Cricetulus griseus: one gene and its partner. The protein of the gene in region 1 interacts with the protein of each later gene in a biochemical or structural test. Links are inferred from orthologs where the notes say so. Each region holds a gene or a part of one and is shown in the gene's direction. Other genes may lie near its edges.

Evidence for each region.
Region 2: the proteins of Eif4g1 (region 1) and Eif4a1 form a complex in vitro, tested with the Homo sapiens proteins (3 studies listed by IntAct, with this or other methods). The link is inferred for Cricetulus griseus from reciprocal best matches to the Homo sapiens genes EIF4G1 and EIF4A1.

What each region holds. Positions count from the first base shown.
Region 1 is NC_048597.1:67,977,154-67,980,851, reverse strand, and holds the start of Eif4g1 (eukaryotic translation initiation factor 4 gamma 1), read left to right. Parts: upstream 1-879; 5' UTR 880-1,032; intron 1,033-1,754; 5' UTR 1,755-1,811; intron 1,812-2,020; 5' UTR 2,021-2,054; coding exon 2,055-2,114; intron 2,115-2,381; coding exon 2,382-2,468; intron 2,469-3,506; coding exon 3,507-3,683; intron 3,684-3,698.
Region 2 is NC_048600.1:83,511,562-83,514,338, reverse strand, and holds the end of Eif4a1 (eukaryotic initiation factor 4A-I), read left to right. Parts: intron 1-251; coding exon 252-420; intron 421-465; exon of another isoform or gene 466-606; intron 607-698; coding exon 699-808; intron 809-904; coding exon 905-1,048; intron 1,049-1,125; coding exon 1,126-1,263; intron 1,264-1,350; coding exon 1,351-1,440; intron 1,441-1,489; exon of another isoform or gene 1,490-1,635; intron 1,636-1,696; coding exon 1,697-1,776; intron 1,777-1,869; coding exon 1,870-2,014; 3' UTR 2,015-2,182; downstream 2,183-2,777. UniProt on the Homo sapiens protein: ATP-dependent RNA helicase which is a subunit of the eIF4F complex involved in cap recognition and is required for mRNA binding to ribosome.

The sequences.
Region 1 (3,698 bases):
CTCACAGAGATCTGCCTGCCTCTGCCTCCTAAGTGCTGGGATTAAAGGCCGGTACCACCACACCCAGCCAAAAACAAAACAAAAGAACAACTAAAAAGACAAGATCGTTAAAAGCTCAAACTTGAGCTAGGCTGGTTTCAAATTTTTAAAATTTGTTCCTATTTTTTAAATTTTATTTTTAGTCATTTGTATGAATGCTTTGCTTACATGTATGTCTGTACCACATGCAAACCTGGTGCCAAAGAGGCCAAAAGATAGCATGATGAGCATATAGAATTAGTGTTACAGACAATTGTGAGCTACTGTAGTGGTAGTGGAATTGAACCCAGGTCTTTTTGAAGAGCTGCCAGTCCTTTAACCAGTGAACCATCATGCCAATCTCCCTGCCTTAGCCTTCAGAATTCTGGGGATCACAGACATGCATGCACCTGTACACTCGACTTTTAGAATTGTTTCTTCCTAAAGTTTTCGTGATTGATTTTTGCCTTTCCCGAGCAGCAACTGGTTTATTGTAAACAGTGAATGTAAAATTGCGCCTTCAGTTAGAATGCATCACTTCTTTTGGTGCAGCATTCATTTTCTTGTTAATAGGACTATCAAAGATCAAATCTACAGCATTTTCAGAGGCTACATAATTTGTAGTGTACCATTTACAAGGACAGGACTGCATTTAAATTCAGCACTCTCAGCTCCCGGGCGGCACTTAGCACTCACGCGCTCAATAAATGCGCAAAGTATGAATGAACTAAAGAACCGCCAGAGCCTCAGAGGGGGTCGGCCTGGGAGTTCCAAAGTTCGGGAGGGGACACGAGGGCGGGCAGTGCGCGTCACGTGACAGGGCGGAGCAAATCCCATGTGCTTCCCCAGCGCCAACGCGGCTCCGCCTTCTGCGCCGGTCACGTGGGGCGCCGGCTGCGCCTGCGGAGAAGCGGTGGCCGCCGAGCGGGATCTGTGCGGGGAGCCGGAAATGGTTGTGGACTACGTCTGTGCGGCTGCGTGGGGCTCGGCCGCGCGGACTGAAGGAGACTGAAGGTAAAGCCGCCATGTCCGGGCCCGACCCGGCCCCACCCCTCCCCCCGCATCCGCCGCCATCCGGGCCGGGGCCGCCACCCTGCGCCGCCGCCCCGGCGCCCCGGCCCGCGCCCGCGCCCAGGCCCTACTCGCCAGGCCGATCCCCGGCCCACGTGTGCCGGGCCGGGCCCGGGTGGGGGTGGGGAGCAGGGCCCGGCCGACCCGGGAGGGGAGGGCGCTGGGGCGGCGGCGCGACAGCCACCTTCGCTGGGCCGGGGACGTGGCCCGGCGCAGGCTACGCGGCGCAGACCCGCCGCCCCCTCCCCCTGCGGGGCCCGGGCGGCCGCCGGGAAGTGACACGTTGTTCTTTGGCACTGGCCGCGTTGCGCAGGGCAAGGAGGCGGCGGCGGGCAGGGAGGAGCCCCCAGCCCCGCCCGGCGGCCGACCCTCGTCTGCCCCGAGCGGCAAGGCGGCCGTCGCCGCCAGCCCTGCTGGTAGGGCCGGGCTCGTGCCCTTCCTGGCTCGTGTTCCCGGGCGGTCTCAGGCCTCTTCGGCCCCGTGCGAGTGCCCCGCGGCAGGCTCCGAACCCGGTGTCCCCGGGTGGGGGGTGGGGACACCACGGCCGAAGCAGCCGGCTTCATTTGTGATCCGGGAGCCTGGTGCCAGCGAGACCTGGAATTTCCGGTCTGGTTGGTCTTGGGCCCCGTGGAGCCAGGTTGATACCCCTCACCTCCCAACCCCAGGCCTTCGGATGCCCAGAACCTGTAGGCCGCACTGTGGACTTATTCTTAACCGAGGGGGTGAGTGAGGGGGCTGTTTGAGCAGGCAAGGGTGGGGTCGGGGTATTGCGGTGTGTTGGTGGGATCCACAGTCTGGATCACTTGTGTTTCTGCATTCCCTTGGCACCTCCCTTGATCCACGTTACTCTTAGCTCTTGATACCTTTCCCCCAGCCCATTTGCCGTAAGCTCGGGTCCTTTCCCGGTTCCGAGCTCTGTTCTTTCCAACAGGTGCTGGGGGGACCCTGATGTGGCACCAAATGAAATGAACAAAGCTCCTCAGCCCACAGGCCCCCCACCCGCCAGGTCCCCTGGACTCCCACAGGTAATCGAGGCAAAATGAGCAGAACTCTGGTTGGGGTGGAGGTCATGCAGCTCTCAGTTTTCCCACCCCCATCTGTGTCAGGGCAAAGTGCAGCTGCCTGCTGCCAAATTGAGATAGGGCCCCTGGCTGTCCCTGGGGCTGTCACAGGGAGGGAACATGTGGACTGCTGAGGCTTTTGCTGCAGGTCTGCTCCCCCTATTTCACCAGCTTGGGTTTCGGCCCCACCCAGGCTTCCCCTCTTGCTGAACTCTGGTCTCTCCCCTTCAGCCAGCGTTTCCCCCGGGGCAGACTGCACCGGTGGTGTTTAGCACGCCACAAGCGACACAAATGAACACGCCTTCTCAGCCCCGCCAGGTGAGGGGCTGTGGTTAGAGTAGGTCGCTGGGTGGGAACTGGGAAAATCTGGTTTGGGACTAGTATGGAAACTGTGGAGGCTGTGTACTTGCCCCCAATTTCCTGACAGTTGCTCTGAATTCTTTCGTGCTGTGTTAGTTATGGTGGCTCACCCTTTGTGAAGTTTGTAGTCTATGAAAGTGGCATTACTGGGTCTTCATGCCTTTGACAATTGGGGACAGTGCTGTGGGTCTTGCTGCCCGCTCTTTCCTGTGACTAGGAGGTTGCCATTGCCCTGTTCCTCTTCGCTTTCTCTTTGAACTGTGATGAGATGAACTTTCCAGCTGCGCTTTCATTTTTTTCTGTTCTCCAAGTTCTTCCCAAGTGGAAGGATTCTTTTCCTACCTACTCCACTCCCCCTAAACCCCTTCCATCACCTTGGGGATAATTGTCGTCTTTCCTGTCCCCATGTGCTCTCAGGGAGGATTCAGGTCTCTGCAGGTAATACCCCTTTCCTAATCCTGAGCAACCTCTTGGTGTTACCCCATCCTCTACCCTAGTCCATAGCTAGACACAGATGGGATATTCAGGGTGGGGCCTTGTTTGATGTTGAGGTCTTCAGTTTGAGTCCAAATACTGCATGTTAGAGGTTAACTGTTGGAGAGCAAGTATCTCAAAACTGGAAGATTGTTGCATGTAGCAGTTAATCAGTATTTGAGGTGGAATAGTGCATGCTGGGAAGTATGTTGCCCTCGAGGGCCTTACTTAAGCATGATGCATCTTGGTGTTAGGAAGACTCTAGAGGGATCATCTAGAGGTGATAGAGTATGCATGGCAGTGAGAGAGTACAGGATACAAAGTATTCATCTAAGTTTCCAGACAAGTTTTAGACCAAGAGGCCACTTAGCCATCAGTTCATGTGGGTTTTGGAAGGATTGGTCTCCATGCTCTGAAGCCTACAGTACTCTGAGATTGTATGTACATTGTGGAATGGAATGCTGATTTTAGTGTTGACTCCCTCCCCTTCTTGACCCCAACTGCTTTCCTCCTTCCTAATAGCACTTCTACCCTAGCCGGGCCCAGCCCCCGAGCAGTGCAGCCTCCAGAGTGCAGAGTGCAGCCCCTGCCCGTCCTGGCCCAGCTACCCATGTCTACCCTGCTGGATCCCAAGTAATGATGATCCCTTCCCAGATCTCCTATTCCGCCTCCCAAGGAGCCTACTATATCCCTGGACAGGTGAGGCTGGGGGCT
Region 2 (2,777 bases), on another chromosome or scaffold:
GAATGTGATGGCAGGATGGAGCCTGTGAGTTAGTTCTAAGCCATAAGGGCTGGCGTGGCCTGGCTTGGTATTTTAGAGGGTTTTGTGTAGGATGGAAAACTTAACTGTTAGCCTGTGTTCAGAAACAAGGATTCTGCCATTTGTGTGTGGGGGGGTGTCTTAAGGAGAGTTTTAGATAAATGGATTAAAGGGGAAAGTAACAAACTTCCAGGTGTATATAGCCGAAGCTAACTTAGTTGTCTTTTGTTTAGATTCAAAAGGTGGTCATGGCATTAGGAGACTACATGGGTGCCTCTTGTCATGCCTGTATTGGAGGCACTAATGTGCGTGCTGAGGTGCAGAAGTTGCAGATGGAAGCTCCCCATATCATCGTGGGCACCCCTGGCCGGGTGTTTGATATGCTTAACCGGAGATACCTGTGTGAGTGCCATTTTACAGTTGTCGCACTTTCCTAGGATGTTAGTTGCTCTGTGATGAACCCCATGCGTGTCATCTGAGCCCAGCTTCCCTGTTGCCTTAGCCCAGGTAGTGTTCTACTTACCAGGACTATTTTCTGGCCTGGCAGGGAGGCCTTAGGCAAAGGATCAATCCTTATATTCTGAGAGCAGACTGCTCCTTGCCTGTCCCTTTACTAAGGGACTTAATTAAATGTTTCACATTTCTCTTATTATGTGTTGGTATCTTTTCTGTCTTCCTAGCCCCCAAATACATCAAGATGTTTGTACTGGATGAAGCAGATGAAATGTTAAGCCGTGGGTTCAAGGACCAGATATATGATATATTCCAAAAGCTCAACAGTAACACACAGGTAAGCTGCTGTCTTCATAGGATAACCCATGGCTTGGTTGTGATGTGAGGAGGACAAGCAACCCTTATTGCCATCCACTTTTCTCTCCCCAACTAGGTAGTTTTGTTGTCTGCTACAATGCCCTCAGATGTCCTTGAGGTGACCAAGAAGTTCATGAGAGACCCCATTCGGATTCTTGTCAAGAAAGAAGAGTTGACCCTGGAGGGTATCCGTCAATTCTACATCAATGTGGAAAGAGAGGTGGGGCCTAGTGCAGGAGGCGGACCTGGTAGTAAGTTGTTGGGTATAGCCCCTGACTGATGTTTCCGGATCTCCAGGAGTGGAAGCTTGACACATTGTGTGACTTGTATGAAACCCTGACTATCACCCAAGCAGTAATCTTTATCAATACCAGAAGGAAGGTGGATTGGCTCACTGAAAAGATGCATGCCCGGGATTTCACTGTTTCCGCCATGGTAAGTTTTCTCAGATCTTCTAAGTAGCTGTGTGTGCTTGTGTTTTAAGCATAGAATGCCAAAAGCCTTGTGCTACTTGTTTTCTAGCATGGAGATATGGACCAAAAGGAACGAGATGTGATCATGAGGGAGTTCCGGTCTGGTTCTAGCAGAGTATTAATTACCACTGACCTGTTGGTGAGTAGAGGCCTGTTTCAGGAAAAGCAAGAGGGGTGGGAGGAGTTGAGTCCAAGGTGATTCCCTCTCCAAGGGGCTGACTAGTGCCCCTTTCAGGAACGTAGCAACTTGGAAGAAAACCTGGCATGCCTGAGGTCTCTGGGGGAACAAGAGATGCTTGTTTGTTGCCTTTCCCTGCCTTGGCTGCCTACATGTATTCCTAAATCAGTTGGACAGATTGTACCCTCTGACAGTTCTGTGATCTTTCTTGACCTAGGCCAGAGGCATTGATGTGCAGCAGGTCTCCTTAGTCATCAATTACGACCTTCCCACCAACAGGGAAAACTACATCCACAGGTAAGTAAGGGTCTGCAGTGCCAAATACCCAAGCGCTGAAATCCAAATGTCATCCTCTTTCCCCATTCCATTATTATCCCTTTTTGCCCTTAGAATTGGTCGTGGTGGTCGCTTTGGCCGTAAAGGTGTGGCTATCAATATGGTGACAGAAGAAGACAAGAGGACTCTTCGAGACATTGAGACATTCTACAACACCTCCATTGAAGAGATGCCCCTCAATGTTGCTGACCTCATTTGAGGGGCTGTCCTGTTACCTGGCTCTAGCCAGGGTTCAGTCCTGGGGGGCTGAGGAACAGCTGGAGGGGGGAGGGAAGGGAGCCAAGGGATGGACATCTTGTTTTTGTTTTTGTTTTGTTTTTCTCTCTCTCTCTCTTTGAATAAATGTCACTTTTTGAGGCAAAAAGAAGGAACCGTGAACATTATAGATACCCTTTTCTTTGGGGTAGGTTCTGCCCCAGGCGCCGTCTCCTTCCCCCAACCCCAAAACACTAATCCATTCCCCTAACCTGATTCTAAAGACTTTCCTACTACCCCAGCCAAATCTCCAAAAGTGAATCAAGGGGCTAAAACATGTCTGGCCTCATTTGCTGGACCAAATCTACAGGGAGAGTCCCTGCATGAAGTTGTCCAGGGAATTGTCCCCAGGTGAGGGGAGCAGGGGAGAGAAAATGGTAGCCATTTTTACATTGTTTTGTATAGTATTTATTGATTCAGGAAACAAACACAAAATTCTGAATAAAATTACTTGGAAACTGCCTGTTTGGGCTTCTTGTTTGTTCCTCTCCCACCTGCTGTTTGTGTGGGTCAGCTCCTATAGTGGTTCATTACTGTGTTGTTGCCTCCTGCTGGTGTTCAAAATATATCAAGTGATCCACTATGTACTGAAAACTGGTACTGACAGTACAGGACCCTTCACAAAACGTTAGTCACGAGTATCACATGATACTTGAGGAACTGAACACAGTAATGGGGTCAAGAAGTCAGCAAAACCTAGTTCTGCT